Drosophila melanogaster: one gene and its partner. The protein of the gene in region 2 interacts with the protein of the main gene of each other region in a pairwise test. Each region holds a gene or a part of one and is shown on either strand. Other genes may lie near its edges.

The links.
Region 1: the proteins of CG14110 (region 2) and CG44002 interact in a two-hybrid assay, tested with the Drosophila melanogaster proteins (one large-scale study listed by BioGRID).

Annotation. Positions count from the first base shown.
Region 1 is NT_033779.5:3,167,825-3,174,806, forward strand, and holds CG44002 (uncharacterized protein), read right to left. Parts: upstream 3,269-6,982; 5' UTR 3,128-3,268; coding exon 2,090-3,127; 3' UTR 1,996-2,089; downstream 1-1,995. Other genes in the region: Hydr2 (alpha/beta hydrolase2), read left to right, coding at 1-149, 211-377; CG31698 (uncharacterized protein), read right to left, coding at 5,479-5,588, 5,656-6,001; CG15404 (uncharacterized protein), read left to right, coding at 6,168-6,414, 6,480-6,601.
Region 2 is NT_037436.4:13,381,906-13,388,326, reverse strand, and holds CG14110 (uncharacterized protein), read right to left. Parts: upstream 3,539-6,421; 5' UTR 3,517-3,538; coding exon 3,453-3,516; intron 3,401-3,452; coding exon 2,418-3,400; 3' UTR 2,402-2,417; downstream 1-2,401. Other genes in the region: CG10171 (uncharacterized protein), read left to right, coding at 553-661, 717-1,612; ImpL1 (Ecdysone-inducible gene L1), read right to left, coding at 4,422-5,522.

The DNA.
Region 1 (6,982 bases), on a different chromosome or scaffold from region 2:
GTACAACTTTCCCTCCACCCAGGAGTTGTACAAGTGGAGCTCGTCGCTGTTTTACTTCGATACGATCAAGAAGCCAATGATCTTCATCAACGCCAAGGATGATCCCTTGATCCCGGAGGATTTGCTGCATCCCATCAAGGAGTATGCCAGTAAGTAGAAAGTTCTTTGCTTGCTATCACGTTGCTTATTGCTTAATCTTTCTCCCCTCAGCGACGCGTCAAAACACCGCCTATGTGGAGGTGGCCCATGGCGGTCATCTGGGCTTCTATGAGGGCGGCTTCCTGTACCCGAACCCTGTCACTTGGCTGGACCGTACGCTTGTGGCGATGGTTGGGTCCTTGGTCATGATGCACGAAGTCGGCAAGGTGGCCCCTTAGGCCTGGTTGCTATTTTCACACGCATACACGACTATTTAACGCTTCTGTGTCAAAATTGGTTGTCGCTGTCGAATATAAATCTTTGAAGAACCATCGGAACGGAAGAGAGCCCGAAAGACCCCATACATATAGTTCTAACATATGATATCGTTGTGCAGCAATTATAAATTATCAGCCGCGCAAGCATAAATTGATGTATACTTTTGCAAAGTGCATTTAAAACAGAAATTGTAGTTTTTTGAGAACGATTTTTATGCTTTTTAATGACTTTTTGAAGAGCCAAACATACAATGTATCAGTTGAACTCGTACCTTAGTTAGTTAACGCGACCACATGTATCCATGTACTTATGTCTAAGCAAATTCCTATTTATTAGCATTTTCCTTTGTGATCTAACAGTTTTTAATTACGTACATTTTTATATGTGAAATGTACACCACACGCCGCACACAATATACGATGTATGACAGTAATTATAAATTATAAGTCCTCGACCGCACCACAAGCATATAAAATAGCAAGAATATTGCCTTAGTGTAGACCTCGTTTTGTATGTGTGAATATGATTTGAACTATTCATTTTGTACTATGATGCATTTCACGGAAATCAAAGAGAAACCAAATGAAAGTTTGCCCAACGTCGGCTTCATTTTTGTATACTTTTTCTGAACTTTACCAAGTTGATAGTCAGATTTGTTTACCAATGTAGTGGAGTGGAGAATATTTATAAATGTATTTGTAAATGTATTTATAAATGTATATTGAAACAAATAAATAACAGTTGGACAAAAATATTCCCTTTATTTCACTTTTGATTTTTCCATATTTCAAATTTCGCTGTTAAATCGGTTACAGTTTCTCTACACCTAAGCTAACACTGGATTTGACATCACTAGTTGCAAGAAATGTACACCACACGCCGCACACAATATACGATGTATGACAGTAATTATAAATTATAAGTCCTCGACCGCACCACAAGCATATAAAATAGCAAGAATATTGCCTTAGTGTAGACCTCGTTTTGTATGTGTGAATATGATTTGAACTATTCATTTTGTACTATGATGCATTTCACGGAAATCAAAGAGAAACCAAATGAAAGTTTGCCCAACGTCGGCTTCATTTTTGTATACTTTTTCTGAACTTTACCAAGTTGATAGTCAGATTTGTTTACCAATGTAGTGGAGTGGAGAATATTTATAAATGTATTTGTAAATGTATTTATAAATGTATAATGAAACAAATAAATAACAGTTGGACAAAAATATTCCCTTTATTTCACTTTTGATTTTTCCATATTTCAAATTTCGCTGTTAAATCGGTTACAGTTTCTCTACACCTAAGCTAACACTGGATTTGACATCACTAGTTGCAAGAGCAGTCGTGGCCGAGCGGTTAAGGCGTCTGACTAGAAATCAGATTCCCTCTGGGAGCGTAGGTTCGAATCCTACCGACTGCGATGACAAGAGTTACTTTTTTGTTTTTAACTTTTTGCCCAAAAGAACAATTTTAAGGTTATTAATTTGATCCTTTTTCATAATGTTTCAAAGAATGTTGTGCTAGATTTGTGTGTTTGCTTTCATATAAATATTCTATTGGAATATTAAGATTTTTTAAATATATCCCAGATGGTATTCATTTTTATTGAGCGTTTTATACTTATACCTAAAAAAAATAATTAATTTTTAAATGTTTAAACTAAATGAAGCTTAAGATATAGCCGCGTTCTCGACCTTGTCCGTATGGCAAAGCTTTACATGCCTACGCAGACCTTTTGGTTGGCGGAAACGCCGCTCGCATTGGGAACACTTGAATCGCTTTTCTGCGGTGTGGCTCATCATGTGCTTCCGAGCATCTGACCGCTCCCGGAAGAACTTATCGCACATATCGCACTTGTACGGTCTTTCTCCTGTGTGAATTCGAATGTGCTGCCTTAGAGCAGATCCATCCGAGAAGGCCGACTGGCAGGTAAGGCACTTGAATGGTCTTTCTCCCGTGTGAGTCCTTAGATGTCTTTTGACGGAAGCAAGATCCGCAAATGGCTTTTGGCAAATTTCGCAGGCGAAGGGTTTTTCCCCCGTGTGGGTCTTTTGGTGGCGGACACAGCTTGCTTTGCTGCAGAAGGTCTTGTTACAAAGGCGGCAGGTGTGCGTAGAATTCCTTGAAAGCTGTCTGGCTTTCGTCCTCAACTCTTCTTTGACCGCGTGCTCGCTGGTGGAGGACATTGGACGGGGTCCGTCCGTTGTGTGGTGTCGCAGGATGTGTAGCTCTAGGAGACCAGGTCTCCGAAAGGACATGTGACACTGTGTGCAGATGTGACCCTTATCCTCGGAAACATTGTCGGATTGAGCAGTTTTAGATTCTTCCTGGGTGCTGACTTCATTCGTAGGTGCCTTGTTTTCACTCAAATGAACTTTCTCCTCTTGTTCATCGATGAGTATTACCTCGTCGGAGTCTGATAGCTCGATGATTACATCCTCCGAGAGTTCTTCCTCGAGAACCGTGTCCTGCACTTCATAGAAGACCTGGTAGCTGCGTTCGTAGGTTTTTATGATCGTAAACGCATTGTGGGCATCCTTCACACATGGTGGGCATATTGAGTGCGGTAATGAGTCCCCTTTTTCAACTTTGAAGCCGGTGCATTCAATTATCATATGGGCTATTGAAACTGGAAGATCCTGCCTTTCCTCGAAAATGTTCACCATGTTTTTTGAGCTTGCCAGGCAAACTCGACACTTGTTCTCCATTACCCTGTATTTTAATAAACCTTGGCCGCCTATACAAATCGATCAAAGGTAATTACAAATAAATATGTAGTGGTATTTTAAATATTTTCAAATTAAATGAGACGGTTTATTTATTATAGGGAATAGTTTGTTTACCATTTTGGCATAGCATTCAGTTTGCTAGTGGAATGATCACCCTGTTCCCACAACAGTGGGCTGTTAGGCGCAAAAGAATATGTATGTTACGTTACCGAACTGTTATCGAGCTTGAAAACGTTTCTTGAATGAAAAATAACAAAATTATAATAAATACGTATTTGGTACGTATTTGGCTAAGATAAGATTACATTTTTAACGCCTTGCCGTAATTCTTAGCATGCCTTCGAAGAAGAATCATATTCTTAAGGACTAAACCGCAACCCTCACACTTCACGTAAAAGGTCCTTTTGCCAAAGACACTAGAATTATTCTAGTATCTTTGCTTTTGCCTTGTGTACCAGTCCGGGCTGGTGGAGGTCGGATGACGTCGAGAAACGGGACTGGCAGTCAGGACGAACCCTATCCACAAACCGCTTGTCGCACCGATCACACTGGAAAGGTAGTTCATTCGATGGTTCATGCAATGGGGCTCGATAAGTTCGTAAAGGCCGATTTTCATATTGAGCATTTGAAGGGACGTTCCCTGGTGTGGGTCCTTAAATGCTTGACGAGGTTACAGCGTAGCGTGAAGTCTTTACCGCAGTGATCACACTTAAATGGCCGCTCGCCCGTGTGACTCATGGTGTGGCGGTCCAGGTGGCTTTTCAATCGGAAGGAACTCAGACAGGAAGGGCAGTCGAAGGGTCGAATGTCGGAGTGTGTCTTCTTGCGCTGGCGCAGGTTACTTTTGTCAGCAAAAGTCTTGGCACAGATGTCGCACGGGTAAGGTCGTTCTTCCAAATGCAGGGCGCTGTGCCTTTTAAGAAAGGATTTCAGTCGGAAGGTCATCGGGCAGCTGGGGCATTTGAATGGTCGTTCTCCCGTGTGGACGCGGTTGTGCTCCTCGAACCTGGATCGATGTGGAAAGGACTTACTGCAGTGGGAGCACTTGTAGGCCATCCGAGCACCGCTCCGAACACATTCACTGCCGTCCAAAGCCAATTTCGGTGTCAGTCTCACCTTGCTGATGATCAGGTGCAACACTTTCATTTCGGGGGGCGTCCTGGACATCCTTGTCCAATGTACCACTTTCTTTGGGTTCCTTTTCATCATGTTGCTGATTCTTCGAATGAACACTATCGTCGACGCTATTATTGAAGTCTTCTCCCTTTGCATCTACGGTTTGATCACATTCATCTTCTGATATCTCATAGATTTCATCGGCATTTATGTACTTTTGGTTTCCATTGGTATCGTGCGACGACGTCCCACTGTCGCTGTCCGATATTGTGTACACCTCTCCTTCTAGGGAATCCTCTTCAAGTACCGCTTCGTATGCCTCACAAAAGGTGATGTAGCTGCGCTCGTATTTTCTGATGATATCGAATGCACTCTGGGCATCCTCCAAACAGGATGCACAAATTAACTCCGACAGATCGTCCCCTTCTTTAATGTCACAGTCCGTGCATTCAGAGATCACTTGTGCTATTGAAACCAGCAGGTCTTGTTTTGCCTCGAAAATGTTTACCACGTTTTCACTGACCCCAAGGCAGACTCGGCATCTGTCTTTGAGTGCGCTAAAATGACGAGATGGGACTTTAGGACACGCACATTTACAAAAGCAGATACTTACGCTCTCATTTCTCCTACAAATTTTTATTTTCAAAATAAGATATAGGTCCTTTTTTCCTTCGATAAAAATACATCAGATGTTTTATAATCGGTTATCGATGACATACGACTGCACGCGCAACAGTGAAATGTAAGGGGAATAGGGTGTTCTGTGTACGTAGAGAGTGAAAAACTAATCGAGTTGTAAACAAACAGCACACATGTATCTATTATTATTATAATAATTTAACCAGTTTCTGAGAGGAAAAAATAGAGAATAGAATAGAGAATGTTGAAAAATAAAGAAAATCCGTAAACCTTCTCGCAGTCGGTAGGATTCGAACCTACGCTCCCAGAGGGAATCTGATTTCTAGTCAGACGCCTTAACCGCTCGGCCACGACTGCTGTTGGTATGACTCGGCAAATTGGCAACTAATGTTGATTGCATGGGAGAATCCAAGACTGAACACACATTTCGGAACCTTGCTCATTTGACAACACTGCATGTGTGTGTTACTTGAATTTGAGCGCCAAGTTGAATGTGACACACAAATCCCTTTACTTGCTTCCTTTTATTCGAATACAAGGGATTTAATTTTTTTTAATACCCTTTATTGACCGCATTAAAATTTACAAAACCGTTTAGGACAATACTCACGACAGCAACAATTGATGCCGCATTTGTAATTCATGCCCTCGCATTTCTGCTTGCCCCACGAAAATGAAAGAAGACCTAACCACATGGAAAAATAAGTTATATAAGTAAGCAAACGAACTCATAAAATTATACAAATACTCACGGGCATATCCAGCTGCCTGGCGAGCTTCATTTTCCTTTATCAGTTCACAATCTGACTTGCATACGAAGTAGAAGGCTACGCCTTTGCCACAATGTGAGTCCAGGATGCAACGATTCACGGGTTTGCTGTCGCAGGGACCGGGATTTTGACAACTTGGACCATTGTAGACGCAATGGGCACCGCAGCAGGCGTTATCCCGAGGTGGAAGTTTGGGCTCCTTATAGCCATTACCATTGCACTTGTTCAGGCCAATGAACGGATGGCAGGACCCCTGGTTGCAGCCCGATATTACGGCCATTAGACAAGCCAGCAGTTGGAAAATCAGCAGAACTCGTATTGCTCTCATGTTGGTTAATAGGTCACTCAAATGATCAACCAAAAAGCAGACTGCTTTTATACCCACATATCGCCATATATTTACACAATTGCTAAAGCAAAAATAGACCTCCTTAACCTGAGATAGACTATAAAAGTCTCGACCCTCCTGGCACTTTATCTGAGAAGTCTTCGAAATGGTTGCCAAGATTCTGCTGAGCCTGCTGCTCCTCGCTGTTGTCACCGATCTGGTCTCAGCCCAGTGCTCCCAAAACCTGTGCCCAGTGGTCACGAACTCGAATCCCCGGTGCAAGGGAAAACTTCAGTATCAATGCGTTTGCGACTACACCTGCTCCGAGTGGGACAAGCCCTGCAACTGGGTACTTACATGTCCTGAAGAAATCGACGACATCAATGAAGTGCGCGACAAGAGAAATAAGCTAAGTAAGTTCGGACACTCATATCCTTGATGAAATTCACAATCCATTCACAATCACACTTTCTTGCAGATTTGTTCAGATTGCCCAATCGAAACCGCCTGGAGTGCCTGGACATCAATGTCTACACCATTACGCGTCCGAATTGCTGCGACTTGTTCTGCAAGTCTAAGCTTAAAGATGTCTGTTTCTAAATAAATGTATGATCGTCAAATATTATCGCTTATCATTTAATGGATTTGAGAGGGAATTTTGTATAAGGCAATAAAATATAAAAATCAAGTAGAAGTTTTTTTTTAATTTCCCCCATATGGTCACCGATGATTAATTTACTAAAATATTTACGCCTTTTCAAAATAATAAAATGTTATACCCCATTTTTGAAAAAGGCATTTAAGAATATTCAAATTGCTGGCTTGAAAGTAACAAAATCATTTTTTATTCAACGGGTTTAATATACACATAAGTAAATATGTTAATCCACTTTTTAATACAATAACCGTTTTATTTATTTAATTATTTTCCGGCATTTTTACAGCTGATCATTGAGTTTATTTAAATTAGTTTATGCAGCT
Region 2 (6,421 bases):
ATTTTATAAAAAGCAATTGAACAATTTTAGATCCATCACTATGAATTTTATTTTGCAATTTAAAATTAAAATGATTGCTGTAAATACCCTTTTTCGTTTAAATATATTTATTTTTATAAAATATTCAAAGGGGTTCCGATGGCTCATACCCCTAAAAAGAAAATGGTAAAGATCTTACTCTCTAAATATGTTTATTTAATAACAATCGTGTTCAAATTAACTTTATTTGGATATTTTGAATTCATTTAAATGCCTAAACAAGATTTTAAATACTGAGAGCACACTCGAATTTATAATATATATAAGAATAAAAGTAATAAACAATTTTTACATAGAAACAAAATTATTTTTCAAAATAATTTATTTAAAATTGAATCTTCATTTAAAAACGGAATGGGTTGAGTCTTCGTTGAACTAAAAGCCAGGTTGCCATACATTTGACACATTAACATTTGGTATTTTCAAACACTAGTCAACGGCATCACTGGCTCATATAAATAAACAAAACCCGCCGGAGAAAGTGGCGATAAACAGCGCCCATAAAACGTCAAGATGCGTGACTGGATGCCAGTGCTCTTCTGCGGACTGTCCGTGCCGATCTCGCTGTTCATGTGGCTGGGCAATGTGGCGCTGTCCAAGTTCTGGAGCAGTGACTTTGAGGGTGAGCTATATGGATTCCAGTGCGAACGTTACCTGGGGTCAACTAATGCCAAAAGGTTATCCGACAGAGTCCCGGGTGATTCCGCCGGTGCGCTGGCTCTTCTCCACACTGGCGCCCTTGGCCCTGATGACTGTGGCTCTGCGCCGGAGGAGCGTCAACCGATCTGGAGCTGCGCTGGGCATTCTGGTGGCCTTCATTCTCTCCATCGCCAGCCATCCGTTCTTCGCCAGCTTGGTGGTGTTCTTCTTCAGCTCATCGCGGGCCACCAAGTTCCGCGCGCACATGAAACGCCGTTTCGAGAGCGATTTTCGCGAGGGCGAAGGCCAACGAAACTGGATACAGGTACTCTGCAACGGAGGCATGGCCGCCCAGCTTGCATTGCTTTATCTGCTGGACTGCGGTAGTGGCGAGCGGGCGGTGGACTTCGCACGAGAATACCGATCCAGCTGGCTGGGTGTGGCCGTTATGAGTGCGTTTGCCTGTTGCAATGGCGACACCTGGTCCAGTGAACTAGGATCCGTGCTGTCGCAACGCGATCCAGTTTCTATCATCACCTGGCGCAGAGTGCCGCGCGGTACCAATGGTGGGGTTTCGTTGCTCGGCGTCGCGGTGAGTCTGCTCGGCGGTCTGCTCGTCGGCTTTGGCTATTTCGTCACCGTTCGTTACACGGTTGAGGCCAAAATGCTTCTGATTAGCCCACCACAATGGCCAATCATCGCCTTCGGTGGCATCGCTGGACTTTTTGGGTCCCTTTTGGACTCTGTCCTAGGTGGTCTGCTGCAGTTCTCGGGCATCAATGAGGAAGGCAAGATTGTGGATACACCTGGAAAGGGAGTGCGCCACGTAAGCGGACTGCGCATCCTGGACAACCATAGTGTCAACCTGATTTCCAGCATCGTCACCGGCGTCACCATTCCTCTCCTGGCCCAGAGATTCTGGCCCGTGCGCTAATGCTGTTTTGGATTAGGATTAGCTGCATTCAATAGCTAAAAATGTCAAAGGCTGCCTCACAAGATTGAATTCCGTGTTAAACATAAACCCATCCTCATAAAGCCTTTTAGACAGGTATATATGTACAATTGTTAACCATTTATAATTTCATAACGCCGGTGAAATACCCTCCATAGATATATTTTTATGAAGCTTACATATCGCCTAGCGAACTAACCAACCTATGAGACTCGATGAAAACAACGATTGGGCACCGAATAGCCAAGGCAGTTAGATTATATTTACTCTAAGGTAGCTAACCATGTTCCTTTACGGATTATGACGTTGTTGTTACTGTGACTGTTCACCTCCATTTTGTGTATTAACTCTACTAAACACGAACCGTACATGTGGATCTATTGTCATTGTCTCGAAATTCTCGTACGTGACGGAATACATTTTCTGATTTGGTTATGTATATTCTTATGGCGTCATCTCAAGTTGTTTTCAACAATTTGGAGATCAATGATTGGTTCCCGCTGGAATAATTTTAGCAGACCTCGCTCCAAATCGAATGTTTTGCTTATTGCACAAGCAATTGCTGTTGTGGTGATTAAAATATTCATGAAATTTCTATAACACAATTCGAAATTTTTGAATTTGAGGTAATAGAATAGAATTAAGTTCTTCAACTGAGGGTTTTAAAAATATCTTTTGTTCGAAATATAGCTACTACTCATAAAGTCTTCGAATCCATTGTTGTTAGTACATTAAAACATGAATCCAATTGAAAACCCGTGGTTTTGTTTTCGTTAATAATGTATATCTAATATTTTTGCACTTTATTGGCTCTTCTTAGTTTTTGAAGTTCAAAATTTCGAATTAAGTTTTGCGAAAGAGCACGTAAAGCCTCACTGGACGAACTATGTGAACCCGCAGTGCTGGTAGCTCCACCCGGAGTGGTTGGCTTGGCAAATCCGATTGAGAACTTGATCATTAGGTCGCCAATTGGCGAGTTGACGAATTGCGAGCCCGTTGAGATGGTCTTGAAGATGATGCGACGCTTGTGCTGGTAAACCTGCGGGTCACTTGGCAGGCTGTTTCCCGGCTGAGGATTTGCCTTGGGTTTGGTGCTGGAACCAATCTTGGGCCGTGGAGTGCTGGTGGTCACATTTGGTGATTGCTCTGTGGTGCTGGTTTGGTTCAATGGACTTTCCGAGATCCTGGGCTGAGCAGTGGTTCTTGTCCTGGTGGTTCGTGGCTGAAAAGTGGTTGTGCTGCGTCGTCTGTACGGTTTGCGAGTGGTGGTGGTTGGAAGGCTCAACGAAGGTGCCTGGTAGCCTGGGTCCTCATCCTCGGGAGCATCTGACACGGCGTCCGGTTTCTCGGGGTCCGACGGATAACCCTGATCCGTCTGATCCTCCTCGTCCTCGTAGTCATCCTGTAGATCACCATCTCGATCTCCGCCGGAGAAGTACGGTGGCTGGTGTGGTGGTTTCTGATCGCGACGATCCTGCTTCTCGCGGTGCTGCTCGTAGACAGGGTCATTGGGAGCCGATGAGGCCAACACTTGTTCCATCTGCTTTTGAAGGATCTCGTAGAGCGGCGTATTCTGCACATCCTCTAGGACTTCTGCAGGTTCGCTTGGCACAAACTGATTGTTGATATAGGCATTACGTCCATCCAGGTCTTCTTCTAGTTCCAGCTCTTCATCTTTACGGGAACGAGACTCCGTTTGCAGCTTCTCGGCTGGGGGTTGGGTCACTCCTTCGGTTACCTCGACAGGAGCAGCTTGAATGGTGAGAACAACTAGGAGAGGAAAACTAAATACCACAAGCTACAACTTTTAGAATATTCTCACCTGCACTCAGCAGAATCAGTAGCTGAATCTTCCAGACTGGAACTCCGACACTAGTGGCTCCCATTGCAGTTGGTCAACTTCTGTGACAAGTGACACAAATCCCGCTGCTTTTATAGGCAACCCAGCCGCAACCTGTTGCATTGTCCATCCCACGCCCAATTAGTTTTTAGGTTTAGTGCCTGGCAATGGATGATGGCCCTTTCAAGCTTCAGATATCAATCAGTTTATAGAACTTGTTTTGGGGGTCAATGCACTTGATTCAATGCAACTGCATCGCCTTAGAATTCTTCTCAATTTAATTACAAAGAGGTGAATTTGCCTCTAAGAAAGTTTTGAAAATTATCTGATTGAAAGATATATATGTAAAGTTGAAGTTGTTATACCCGTTACTTTAACACACAAAGTTCTTTAGAGGCCATAAAGAATTATCAAGAATGAGTTCGTTAAGAATCATAGGTGTATTCATTCCCATTACAAATTTTGCACACACCTTTCCCCTTGCTACTAAATCTGCTTCGAGTTATACTAGTTTGTCACAGAAATGTTGGATCCCGATTAATGTCTTTCCAAAGATATAGCTATGTAAATGTACAATGCACCTATTTCAGTAATTAAATGCTCAAGGGATCTGAAAAATAGTGTAACTGGTCTGGAGTCATAAGAACTAAGAAGACACTCTTACTGACTTTGGGAAAATAAAAGTGCGTTTCGATCCCATATAAAATATCTACATAAAAGTGCTAAGCAGATCTTATGATTTTTATTTTTATGACAATATAAAAGTCGGGTTACCATTAAAGTTAGCCATAAAAATTGTAGTCCAATACACGTTTAAACTACAAAGCGTGTATTTAAAAAAAACCCATTTTGTTTATCAAATATAGATGATTATCGTTGTTTAGAATTTTATTTGTTGTAATAAATTAAATAAATACTATAATTAGGTGAGATTTGTGTAGCCATTGCTTTCTAAGCTACTTGGTACTTGAGCCTATCAATGTCCTTGCCCTTGGGTTGGGTCTGCTGGTGAAGGGGCGCGATCTCCAGAGGTTTGGGCGTGGGAGTGTCCTTCAGTGGCATAGGCGGCATAGCGATGTCCTCGGTCGTCTTTGCAGGCTCCAAAACTGAAACTGGTTTTGGAACTGCTACTTGAATAGGAACTGGCACTGGCTTCTGGGTGGATTCCACTTTCTTCTGTGGCATTAGGGAAAGGGGATCCTTCTGCTTGTTTTCCTTTTGGTCATCCTTCTCCTCGCTGCTTTCGCTGCTGTCCTTCTCGTTCTTATTTTTCTCAGCCTTCTCCTTCTTCTTTTGCTCCTTCTCCAGCTTGTGTTGTTCCTCCTCCTGCTTACGCTTCTCCTCCTCCAGCTTCAATTGCTCCACGATGGCCGCATCCCGGAAATAAGGCGATGACCGGAACTTCTTGTCGGCATAGGCAGTTTCCTGCGGATATTTCGCCTGGCACTCGGCATAGGCGAAGTCCGTCCAAAGACCGTGGGATCGGCACTTGGCTACACCCAACTTGCACTTGTTGTAGAAAACGGCCACCTCTGAGGTGGTCCTGCCGCAGATGGGCTCGTACAGTTCATCGCAATCATCGTCGCACAGATAGCCCTCGCTCAAGGACTGCGCGGCACTGTTGATAGCCGCGGAATTGGAAGACTGGCAATTCTTCTGGCCCGACTCACAGCTGAACCAGGCGATGGGAATGGCCAAATAGGGGGGACTTAGACGCTTCTGTGCGGCTCCAATCTCACCGGGAGCCGCAAAGGTGCGCTTTACATAGTAGCCGTGCTCTTCGGTGGAAATTGGAGTGTTTCCAGCCAAATCCGTGGAGCTAGACCACTTGGTCTTTGTCTTGGTCTTGTGGGGATCAGACTTTTCATAGTGATGATCGGAGCCCTTGTGCTTGCGCCGCTTTGCATCCGCGGGAATCGCCTCCAAAAGCAGCAGAGCTGCTACTGCTAAAAAGGAAATGGGCGCATACCAGTTAATTATGGGACTTCCAGAACTGGTCAGCTTCGATATGCGAGACTTACCTACGATGCAAACTACTTGGTATGGCCTCATGTTGATCTGGTCAGCTGCTCGACTCCACAACAACTGATCGCATCTTCTGGCGAGCGGTGCTTAAGTACCAGTCTTAGCCACTCGGCGGGGAATTCTTTAGGGGCTTACCGGTTTTCTTCCCACTGCAGCTCTTTCAAAGAGTTCCACATCTTCTCGAGATTTGTTTACACTTCGCGATGTCTCGAGGTCCGAACGAAAGTACGCCAACTTTTTGGTACTCATACTATATTATATTTGGTGAAATTTTATGCAAACTGATGTGGCTGTGGTCGTACCCTTCCCAGCGATAGCCATCTAGAATGTCTCGGATCTGGAACTGGTTGTGTGTGTGTGTGTTTTTTTAACACCTTCGATGCCCTCCATTCGACGCCCAGCCTCCCAAGCTCGGCCGCTTCTCGAGCCGGTTCTCTGAAATTGGGTCAATCTGGAAAGGTTCGGTGATCTGGTTGTTATTTTATGAGGTTCTTCTGACCGCGATCGCCGGCAGCTGCACTCGCTCGCAGGAAATCCACGTCCAATCAAGCGTTGTCATTCTGTTATTCCGCCGATCTCTGTTGATCTTTGATCTGCGCAATTGATCACCTCCATGGATGGCGATTGTGATCTTAATTAGATCGGGCTCAACTGAAATGTGCCTCAGTGATCTGTTTCGCTGACCGTCAGACTGACATATGAAAAGTATATATTAGTTTGCAGCATACATACATTCTCTCGTGTACTTATGATCACCGCTCTCTAATGATCATGTATTCCTTATGATCAGTTAATCAACCATTCATAATTGCATTTGTTATTACCACCATCAGTTTGATGACTCATCCAGCTCGTGATCACTTCTTGTTTATTTTATATACGTAGTTCCATGGAAAAGTTTTCAAATTTCCCATTAGCATTAGAAA